Linked DNA regions of Arabidopsis thaliana. The protein of the gene in region 1 interacts with the protein of each later gene in a pairwise test. Each region holds a gene or a part of one and is shown in the gene's direction. Other genes may lie near its edges.

Region 1 (4,195 bases):
TGTCTTGTCTGTGTAACTGCTGAAAGTTTTGAAGAGACTGAAGGCAGAAGTAATGATGGCAATATCAATAACATATATGGAGTCATCATTAATTAAATAGTAATTTAATTACTCTCTTATTAGTCATAAAAATCAGCCAACACCACTTGTCGTGCGTTTTTATTTATGTTTGACTGACAGATGAAATTAATGAGAAAGTTAATTATCTTTTGGTATCACATTGGGAAAAAGGAACAATAAATGAAGGAGGGAGGCATGGAATGGGAATGCATGTTGGATTCGCAGACAACTCAAAATCCATGCAGTGTTTAGGGCTTTTAGGTTCTCTGTAACCTATCTATACGACACCGTATCTCTGCCCCCTCCTGATTCCATACCCATTTTGAGCCCACCGCCTTATTCTCCCCCCACCTCACACTCGCCCATTCGCGCGTATCTATTCTTTCACGCTTACCTATTATTCCAACATCCTCATAATCACATTTTAACAATAACCCATTGAAGAATAATAATTCATTTCATTCTTTAAGAAAGTTTGGTTTGTAACTAGGTTATATAATTTTACCCAATAAAGGTTATAGAATGGTTTAAAACTACTAAGAAAAACATAATTTAGCTGATCTTTTCTCAAAAAAAAAAAAATAGTTGTCATAATCGAATGCCAATGATGAAACATATTCACCATAAAGCTAACTTAAAGAACCTTTTCTAACCAACAAGTTAACAAGTGATGGTGAATTTGGAGAGTGGGTGAGATTTGTTTTAAGGATATAATTCCATGTTAAAATGGGAAGTACAATTATATGGTTTGATATACAGTACTACAAATTATGCTTTAAGAGTACTAATATTAAAGCGAAGCTGCATTATTTTTGAGATACGTAGGACCCCAATGGTCAGAGGGAGAAGTAAAGTTATGATGATAACAATAAGGCATGATATGATGATGATGTTCATAATGATACTGATGATGATGATGATTTATTAATTATTATGATATGATATCATTATTTGATCACCCTCACGAGCGCGTGGATTTTACCGTCTGGTCGCTGCTTTTTTAATCCTCTCAATCAGTCAACGGTCAACGAGCGAGAAAGCCGCTTTCGTAATGAAAGCCACATTACAAAAAGCCAATTATGCTTGTTTGTGTGTTTTTGAAAAAGAGCTTCTTTTACATTTTCTTTACTTTGAAACTCGGGTACACAAAATCTCTACTCAATTATATTGTCAACTACTAATCTTTAGTATCTTTTAAAGTAGAAACTCAGCTTTTATCTATATTTAGTAAAACCTCACATGAATGGATTTGGGTGAATGAGTTTATCATATGTATAAGAATCTAATATAATATTTGAAAAACGCTCATAGGTTATTTTGTAATTAAGAATAGTGACAACTTACAATATACCAAACGGAAAATGATAGAGAAAGAACAAGAGACTTGGACTTTTTTTTTTCTTATAATAAATCAATTAACCATGGTTGAAAAGGGATGTGAGGTGAAAGTAATAACTCCTGGTTTTAATTTTAACCATGGTTAAGTTAAAATAAAGAGAGAAGGAAGCAGGTTTTTATGCAGTATATATCATCATTGAGGTAACAGAGGTCTCTCTGACACAAGTCATCATTGAAACCCTAAGCCTCCCCACAACCCCATATCTCTTTGTCTGAAAAAACTCTTTTGCATATATAAATAAATATAAGCCATATCTTTTGAAACTGTACTGCTGCACAAGTGTAGAGGCAGTGGCACAACATCTTTAAGAAAGAGAGAGAGAAAGAGTCATTTATTCATTTCCTCGCTTAAAAATCTTGAGCACCCAGACAGAATTCTTCTTTCTTCTTTCTGGGGTTGAGAAAAATGAGTGAAAGAGATGATGGATTGGGGCTAAGTTTGAGCTTGAGTTTAGGTTTTAATCAAAAGGACCCGTCTTCGAGGTTAAATCCAATGCCTCTGGCTTCTTATGCATCTTCATCACACATGCAGCATATGCAGCAGAGCAATTATAACCATCCTCAAAAGATTCAGAACACTTGGATTAACATGTTTCAGTCATCAGGTATTTACCTCCTTTTACTAATCCAGATTCATGTCTAAGATTATAGGTTTCTTTGTTTTAGATCCGATCTTTTTATTACACTTTATCCTATAATAGATAAAATTTTCTTGATATGTTTGTGATTTTTAATCATTTGGCGTGATTAACGTAACGTGCAGAGAGAAACTCGGACATGAGATCGTTTCTCCGGGGAATAGACGTGAACAGAGCTCCATCGACGGTGGTGGTTGACGTGGAGGATGAAGGCGCCGGAGTTTCGTCTCCGAACAGCACCGTCTCAAGCGTGATGAGCGGGAAGAAGAGCGAGCGAGAGCTAATGGCTGCGGCAGGTGCAGTTGGAGGAGGTAGAGTAGAAGATAATGAGATTGAGAGAGCTTCTTGCTCGCTCGGCGGTGGTAGCGACGATGAAGACGGTAGCGGGAACGGAGATGACAGTTCGAGGAAGAAACTCCGATTGTCTAAAGAACAAGCTTTGGTTCTTGAAGAAACTTTTAAAGAACATAGTACACTCAATCCGGTCAGTGGCATTTCCGTAGTTTTCTTCAATAGGTTGACTTTTTATATGTTTTTCATTGACTTTTTTTGTTGTTGTTGGATGCAGAAGCAAAAGATGGCTTTGGCTAAGCAATTGAATCTGAGGACGAGACAAGTTGAAGTGTGGTTCCAAAACCGAAGGGCAAGGTAGAAATTTTTATTCTATTTTAAGGGGTTACTTTCGTAAATTTTATATAGTCCAACAAATAAAACATTAGTAGTTATTGCTATGATGGTGATATGTGTAATGGTCCATTTTATGACCCATAAGATTATCCTAAAGGATTTTAATGGGTCTCTCATGTCTTAAATTAGGAGGTTTGGTTTAAGCTATTCAGTTTTCCCGGTTTAAGAATTAAAACCGCCAATGTTGTTTTTGAGTCAAATTTTGGTTAAAGTGTTTTCAGTTTTCCGGTTCAAGAACAATAACCGCCAGTTTCGAATACAAGAAACAAATGTACTTCGGGTTTTCTCTTTCCCGGATAGTTAAACCGGATATCGGATTTTAATGTTTTGGACTGTTTGTGTGTGTGTTTATAGGACGAAGCTGAAGCAAACGGAAGTAGACTGTGAATATCTTAAGAGATGTTGCGAGAATCTAACGGATGAGAATCGGAGATTGCAAAAGGAAGTGAGTGAGCTTAGGGCTTTAAAGCTTTCTCCACACTTATACATGCACATGAAACCTCCCACTACTCTCACAATGTGTCCTTCTTGCGAGCGAGTCGCTGTTACGTCATCTTCGTCATCGGTGGCTCCTCCTGTGATGAATTCATCGTCTCCGATGGGTCCGATGAGTCCGTGGGCTGCCATGCCTCTACGGCAACGACCTGCTGCTGGTTCTCATTAGAGTTTAATTAGTCTAAAGATAATAGGTTTGGTGATTTGTTTTTATTATATTGTTGAACGGACTTGGAAGTTCTTTTCAAGAGTTGGTCCCATGCTCTTCTTTCCTTTGTTTTATTCAGTTTCTATTTATAGCTGAATTCTGGATAATGGAAAATCTACTAATATTATTGTCCAATTATTAGTTTGGGGAAAGATAAGAGGTTCTATCATTCTTTATTGTTATATATTTTGATTACATCATATCTGTTTTTCACCAAATCCAGAGTTCTATTTTAAGGCCATCGAATCATAATAACGAATGGTGCATAAACTAATTTTCAAGAGCGTCATTTATTAAAGTTGTAATTGTTTAATTGGGGTTTTCTTTCTTTTGCTTGGAACTTAAGAAAGGGATTTGTAAAGATGATTATTAATTACAGTAGAAGATTAGTTAGAAGTATAAAGTAAAAAGAAGCAATGAAAGGTGTTATGATTGATGGAGCAAGCGTGTGTTGTTTGCATATGTAATAAGTAAATGTTAGCCAATACGAATATCGAGACATGTACGTGACATAACATAGCATTTGGTATGTATATGGAGATATTTGGGTCCACATAGACGAAGTCAGACCATTAGAATCTCTTGCAGAACACTGAAGATACGATATTTTTTTCTTCCCTTATGTCAAAAGATCTCAACCGACAGAGAAAGAGAAAATGAGAGGTACGACCAAGATATCTCTCGGTGTTTCAATTTTTGGCAGAGGCAA
Region 2 (7,493 bases), on another chromosome or scaffold:
AGATCTTCCTTTTCAAATTATTTAATTTAATCTTTGCATATTTAGACTTGTAGCAACTATCAACAAGTCGGACACAACAAACGTTCATGCAAGCGTAAAGCAGTGCCAAAACCACCCAAGAAACCTCAAAGACGACCAAGGAAAAAACAGAAAACAATGGATGAAGAGAACCCTATCACTCAGCCAATACAATCTTCTCTTCAAAGTTAATGCTTGACAAGTCTTTACTTTAGAATATCTTGTCCCTCTGAAACGATTGTTTTTTTTGTGACAAATATTGTTGTGTTGCAACAGCTTCGATAGTTATGTTGGTTGGATTTATTTAAGTATGACTCTTTGGATTATTTTAAGTTGTTGTGTCTTTCTTTCAGCTTCTAAAATCCAAACTAATTAAGCAATTCAAAATCATTTAGAACGTTTTTTTGTAATAAATTCAAAATAGTTTTAAAGAACATCATGTGGTTTTTGCGCTAAATACAAATGTCTCGTTGTTTTTTTTTTTAGAAATTAATATCCCATTAATAATTAATTACTGTGGAGTTAAGTTTATTAACAGGTTTTAGTTCAGGGTTTGTTTTACTAAAAACATAGTTTAGGGTTTAAAATGGATCTGGCCAAAGTTAAGGGTTTTTTTCATTAAATTCCCTAATTTATATTCAAAACTTTCAAAACAAGTTAAAGGAAATAAAACCAATTAAGGTTAACCAAAAAAAACAACAGATTTCACGCATCTCACGCGCATAGTGACATTGTACATACTTGTCATGCATCGTCTCTTCCACATGGATACAAAAGATAGGCATACAACAACACCATCATCATGAAAATATGTACATGCACATACATACATACATACAACGTCTTAGGACTAGAGAGCAAAGAGGGTAGGGAAAATTTGATGCTATGTTTGGGTAGGCCACTGTCACAGAGCTTAAAGAGAAGTGCTTTCTTTCCCTAAGTTAGCAAATTACCCCATTTTGTCAAAATTCCGTTTCTTCTGACAACAACACTTACGTTTTACGAATATAAATAGTTGTAGCATGATTTATTTTTGTTACCAATAGATAAACATATTTATTCTTATCGATTGCCATTAGGACTAGGGATTCTGATAATAATTGATATGTCTTAAAATTTGCAGAGACAACAACTTTGCGTGTTGGTTTTCTCATCTGTTTGTGTTTAGCCTTAGTCTGAAATCTGAATGCATTTAAGTTTTTCAAAACTAATCACTTTCAATCCTTTTTAATTGTCAACATCTACTTGTCCTTTTAATCTAATCCAAGAATATTGAATACAGAAACATGTTTACACAAAGAAAATTAGGTGGTAATGATATGAATTAGAGAAGTGTAATCAAGATTCCATCTCATATTAAACCTATTTAAAAGAGTTGTAAGAAAAAATAATAAAACAAGTAATTATTTACTTATAACTATGCATCAAATATTACGAAACTTTTAAAATGAATTGTTAATCTAATTCAATCAATATTATAATTATCTATTTAACTAATAATATTTATATGGTGGCAACCAAAGAATATATATGGGTCCAACTGGTAATTTAGATGAATTGTAAAATTTTTCGGAATAGTTGCAAACTATAAAAAAGAGTTGTACGAGAAAGTTGTATAATAAAATTGAGAATAAAACTTTTTATAACGTTTTTGATAAAGATTTTATAAATGATAACTGTCAAAGTTGTACAAACTCTACCGCTTTGATAATGAGTTATCAAAGACATAAACTTTTATCCTAGTTAATCATTTTAACTTTTAGAATTTAAGCTTTGAATTAAAATTCAAGCTTAGCTTTGTATAAGAAAAAGTTTAAATATTTTTACTTTGCCTTAACAGTAAAAAGCTTTTAACCAAAAACATTGAATTCAACCTACTCTCCCAAAAATTTCACCTTTAATTTTTTTTGAAAACAATATTTACCAGTTTAGTGCATCTTGTTGGGTTGTTCCTTGTCCTTTCTCTCTCAGAAAGATCTTTACTTTTACTTTTTCAGTATTTTCCTCTCTCTTCTCTCTCTTCTCTCTCTTCTCTCTACTTAGCTGCCTCGCTTTTGCTCCTTTTACCTCTTTCCATCTTTCAATCTCCTTTGAGAGAGAGAGCAAATGAAAAAAACCCAAAAAACTCTTTTCTCCAACCATTACCATCTCATGAACACTCTCACAGGAGGCTCTCTCTTCTCAGAGAGCCTACCCATCTAATATTTCTTCATCTGAGTCTCTTTTACTTCTCTCAAAGTATCGATCTTTATTCTTCTTTTTGTAAACCCTCTCTCTCTCTCTGATTTCTACTGACCTGTTTGGAAGATATGATGGCTCATCACTCCATGGACGATAGAGACTCTCCTGATAAAGGATTTGATTCCGGCAAGTACGTTAGATACACGCCGGAACAAGTTGAAGCTCTTGAGAGAGTTTATGCTGAGTGTCCTAAACCTAGCTCTCTGAGAAGACAACAGCTTATTCGTGAATGTCCCATTCTCTGTAACATCGAGCCTCGACAGATCAAAGTTTGGTTCCAGAATCGCAGGTTATTATTTCTTTATTAATTGTCTTTAATGGAATGTTTTTTGTGTTCTTTGATTGTTTCTGTAATTATAAAATTGAATTTCTTTTGTTTGTATTTGGAGACAAAAATGTTCTTGTCTGACAATGTTTTTGGTAATCTTCTTGTTTTTGGTCTAATTGGTGATTGTTAAGCTTTTGAAACTTTCAGATCTATGTCTATAAATTTGTTTTTCTCTTTTTGCTTATTAGGCTTTTGTTGACACAGTTGAAAGTTAAAATCACAAGGAAAAGTGACAGCTAATCAAACTGTCTTTGATGAGCTTTAAAACGCCTCTCTCTTTTTTTCCTTCTGCAGAGAATATGTTGGAAATTACATTATCTTTTGTTCTTTATGTCATTCTGGTATCATTCTAAAGCAAAAAAGTGTGTGTTTCTTCTGTTCATTTTTCTATTATTTCAACACATTTATCATACTGCTATAGGTTTGTCTTTAACTTTTCTGGTTTCTTTTGGTTGTTTTGTTGACTTTTTAGATGTCGAGAGAAGCAGAGGAAAGAGTCAGCTCGTCTTCAGACAGTGAACAGGAAGCTGAGTGCTATGAACAAGCTTTTGATGGAAGAGAATGATCGTTTGCAGAAGCAAGTCTCCAACTTGGTTTATGAGAATGGATTCATGAAACATCGAATCCACACTGTAAGTCCTTGAATCCCTTTTGCTAAATGCATTGTTGAGTTGTTATCTTTGATGCTTGTATATGTATTTGTTCTTTAAGAGTTCTCTGTTGTTAGAGAGTGACTGGTGAAATCTCTGTGTTGTGTCTTAGGCTTCTGGGACGACCACAGACAACAGCTGTGAGTCTGTGGTCGTGAGTGGTCAGCAACGTCAGCAGCAAAACCCAACACATCAGCATCCTCAGCGTGATGTTAACAACCCAGCTAAGTAAGGAAGGCTCTTTTTTTGTTTGTGAATTTCTCATTGTGACATTATGAGAAGAGACTAAATGGAGTGTTTTTTTGGTAGTCTTCTCTCGATTGCGGAGGAGACCTTGGCGGAGTTCCTTTGCAAGGCTACAGGAACTGCTGTCGACTGGGTCCAGATGATTGGGATGAAGGTAGATAAGTTGAAGTATTTTAACGTTTTCATATGTGGAAATGAAGTGGTTTTTAGAAAATGTTTTAATATGTATTTTCATGGTTATGTATGTAGCCTGGTCCGGATTCTATTGGTATCGTAGCTGTTTCACGCAACTGCAGTGGAATAGCAGCACGTGCCTGTGGCCTCGTGAGTTTAGAACCCATGAAGGTAATGGTGTTTTCTTTTTATTTTAATCTTGTGTTGTAAGAAGCGGAAATTCTACGAAGGCAATCTAAACTTCAAATACTGTGTAGGTCGCTGAAATCCTCAAAGATCGTCCATCTTGGTTCCGTGACTGTCGATGTGTCGAGACTCTGAATGTTATACCCACTGGAAATGGTGGTACTATCGAGCTTGTCAACACTCAGGTCTGTTTCATAAATCCATGAGTGTTGTTTTTGTTCCTTTAAAATGTAATGATCATTATTCATGGTTGGTTATCAGATTTATGCTCCTACAACATTAGCAGCAGCTCGTGACTTTTGGACGCTGAGATATAGTACAAGTCTAGAAGATGGAAGCTATGTGGTGGGTATTAGGACCTGGTTTTGTTCATCTATGATTCTATTTATTAGATTTGCCTTATATTTGCTTTTTTGCCTTCAGGTCTGTGAGAGATCACTCACTTCTGCAACTGGTGGCCCCAATGGTCCACTTTCTTCAAGCTTCGTGAGAGCCAAAATGCTGTCAAGCGGGTTTCTTATCCGTCCTTGTGATGGTGGTGGTTCCATTATTCACATCGTTGATCATGTGGACTTGGATGTAAGCATATTGGATTTGTAATAGCACATTAGGTTTCGTAAAAGCCTTCTATTTATGTTGATTGATACGTTTTTTTGGTTTGGTAGGTCTCAAGTGTTCCTGAAGTCCTCAGGCCTCTTTATGAGTCTTCCAAAATCCTTGCTCAAAAAATGACTGTCGCTGTAAGTTCCATATAAACCTTATCCACCCGTGACCTGATTAGGCTCTCTTTATGAGTTTTACTTCCACATTTCAGGCTCTGAGACATGTGCGCCAAATTGCTCAAGAGACTAGTGGAGAAGTCCAGTATAGTGGTGGACGCCAGCCTGCAGTTTTAAGGACTTTCAGCCAGAGACTCTGCCGGTAATACATTTCCTTGATAAGCTTAGTTTTATTTTCTAAAGCATTGTTCTAATTGCTTTTCTTGAAATTCAGGGGTTTCAATGATGCTGTAAATGGTTTTGTCGATGATGGATGGTCTCCAATGAGTAGTGATGGAGGAGAGGATATTACGATCATGATTAACTCTTCCTCTGCTAAATTTGCTGGCTCCCAATACGGTAGCTCATTTCTTCCAAGTTTTGGAAGTGGTGTCCTCTGTGCCAAAGCTTCTATGCTGTTGCAGGTGCCTATATCATGTTTTGACACTTGTGAATAGACAAAAGAACCGGTTTCTTCAATTTCTGACATCATTCTCTTTTTTATCTGCTCTTGAAGAATGTTCCACCCCTTGTATTGATTCGGTTCCTGAGAGAACACCGAGCTGAATGGGCAGACTATGGTGTCGATGCCTATTCTGCTGCATCTCTCAGAGCAACTCCATATGCTGTTCCATGCGTCAGAACCGGTGGGTTCCCGAGTAACCAAGTCATTCTTCCTCTCGCACAGACACTCGAACATGAAGAGGTACAAAGAATCTCAAGAACATTTTCCTTGTTGTCTATTCTTTTGCCATGCCTATAATCCTATTTTGCTTACTTGTTTCTCAGTTTCTCGAAGTGGTTAGACTTGGAGGTCATGCTTACTCACCTGAAGACATGGGCTTATCCCGGGATATGTATTTACTGCAGGTTTGCTTTATACTAAAGACACTCAGGGATTCTTAAAGATGAGTTATTGAAATTGAATTCTTGGTTTCTTTTTTGCTTTTGTCCAGCTTTGTAGCGGCGTTGATGAAAATGTGGTTGGAGGTTGTGCTCAGCTTGTCTTTGCCCCAATCGATGAATCATTTGCTGATGATGCACCTTTGCTTCCTTCTGGTTTCCGTGTCATACCACTCGACCAAAAAACAAATCCGGTAAAAAGAAAACTGTTTATGATAAGAAATTTGATATCTTGAAATTGACACAGTCCTTTTTCTTTTATTCCTGTATGTAACGTTACAGAATGATCATCAATCTGCAAGTCGAACACGGGATCTAGCATCGTCCCTAGATGGTTCCACCAAAACCGATTCGGAAACAAACTCTAGATTGGTCTTAACAATAGCCTTCCAGTTCACGTTTGATAACCATTCCAGAGACAATGTTGCTACAATGGCGAGACAGTATGTGAGGAACGTTGTTGGTTCGATTCAGAGAGTGGCTCTAGCCATTACGCCTCGTCCTGGCTCAATGCAACTTCCCACTTCCCCTGAAGCTCTCACTCTTGTCCGTTGGATCACCCGTAGTTACAGGTACTCTTCTTAGAACCTTAATCTAAAGACTTGTAACAATATAGAATGTGCTTATCTCATTTAATAACTCAATAAAATGTTTTTCTCCGATGTTTTAGTATTCATACAGGTGCAGATCTGTTTGGAGCTGATTCTCAGTCCTGTGGAGGAGACACATTGCTTAAGCAACTCTGGGACCATAGTGATGCCATATTGTGCTGCTCCCTGAAAACTAATGTAAGAATTCTGTTTTTTTAAGAGGTGCTCAATCTAGTTTATGGTTCGGTTTGGGAATTGTCTGATTATTTTTTGGTTCTCAGGCCTCACCGGTATTCACATTTGCAAACCAAGCTGGTTTAGACATGCTTGAAACTACACTTGTGGCACTTCAGGATATAATGCTCGACAAAACACTTGATGACTCTGGTCGTAGAGCTCTTTGCTCCGAGTTCGCCAAGATCATGCAGCAGGTTAAACATTTTCTAGCTAGTCTTTTAAGTCTTTCCCTGGAAAATACTAAGTTTGGATTGAATCTTCTTCAGGGATATGCGAATCTTCCGGCAGGAATATGTGTGTCGAGCATGGGCAGACCGGTTTCGTATGAGCAAGCGACGGTGTGGAAAGTTGTTGATGACAACGAATCAAACCACTGCTTGGCTTTTACCCTCGTTAGTTGGTCGTTTGTTTGATGAAGGAAAAGGTTGGTTATGTTAGATATTAAAAGTTAGGGGATGTTGTTTTTGGCTAAGGTTTGTTGAATTAGAGAGTCCATAACTCTATATGTAATATGGAAAAATTCTGATGATAATCTCTTTAATCAATTATGACATTATGTATGGCAAGATATTTATTTTTATTTATGTTTTGGACTTGTTTCGTTTTTCTTCATCTTCCTTTTACGAAATTTGATATATATATATATATATATATATATATATATATATATATATAGATAGATATAAGATGAATTATTATTAGTAATCTTATAAGTTTTTATCATGTGTTAATGTACAAATATAAACACAAAGATTGGCCTCAAAAGCATGTCGAATAAACTAAATTAATCATCATAGTTTTTGGCAAAAAACGTTTAATGGACTTGGTAGCTCATATGTAACATGAAAAATGTATGCGGAGTTTAGGTTGTATGCATAAATAATAATCATCCAAAAGATTAGATTTGAATGAATCTTTGACATTAAATGATCAATAATCATTACTAGTATTTATCTATTAAATTGAAATAGTATCTATCACAAGAAAACTAGTCATGATGATGCTGTTCTTTGACTTCTAGGCTGGAGGAACCTATAAACTTTTCTTTTGGGTAGTCTAGTTAGTAATGGAAGTTGATAAATAGCTTTTCTTTTGGACAGAAACCTACAAAACTCTTATGGAAGTTTTATACCGACCAAAAATATGGAAGTTTTATTTATGT

What was found. Proteins that work in one complex are often made in the same cells at the same time.
Region 2: the proteins of HAT3 (region 1) and PHV interact in binary tests that used the Arabidopsis thaliana proteins (3 or more experiments, as listed by UniProt).

What each region holds. Positions count from the first base shown.
Region 1 is NC_003074.8:22,320,040-22,324,234, reverse strand, and holds HAT3 (homeobox-leucine zipper protein 3), read left to right. Parts: upstream 1-1,573; 5' UTR 1,574-1,864; coding exon 1,865-2,063; intron 2,064-2,221; coding exon 2,222-2,580; intron 2,581-2,664; coding exon 2,665-2,744; intron 2,745-3,137; coding exon 3,138-3,447; 3' UTR 3,448-3,655; downstream 3,656-4,195. UniProt on the Arabidopsis thaliana protein: Probable transcription factor.
Region 2 is NC_003070.9:10,795,579-10,803,071, reverse strand, and holds PHV (Homeobox-leucine zipper family protein / lipid-binding START domain-containing protein), read left to right. Parts: upstream 1-1,978; 5' UTR 1,979-2,327; coding exon 2,328-2,548; intron 2,549-3,059; coding exon 3,060-3,219; intron 3,220-3,349; coding exon 3,350-3,465; intron 3,466-3,546; coding exon 3,547-3,637; intron 3,638-3,732; coding exon 3,733-3,828; intron 3,829-3,914; coding exon 3,915-4,028; intron 4,029-4,104; coding exon 4,105-4,188; intron 4,189-4,266; coding exon 4,267-4,422; intron 4,423-4,508; coding exon 4,509-4,583; intron 4,584-4,657; coding exon 4,658-4,764; intron 4,765-4,836; coding exon 4,837-5,026; intron 5,027-5,118; coding exon 5,119-5,307; intron 5,308-5,390; coding exon 5,391-5,471; intron 5,472-5,557; coding exon 5,558-5,698; intron 5,699-5,786; coding exon 5,787-6,076; intron 6,077-6,174; coding exon 6,175-6,292; intron 6,293-6,375; coding exon 6,376-6,525; intron 6,526-6,597; coding exon 6,598-6,744; 3' UTR 6,745-6,948; downstream 6,949-7,493. UniProt on the Arabidopsis thaliana protein: Probable transcription factor involved in the determination of adaxial-abaxial polarity in ovule primordium. Specifies adaxial leaf fates. Binds to the DNA sequence 5'-GTAAT[GC]ATTAC-3'.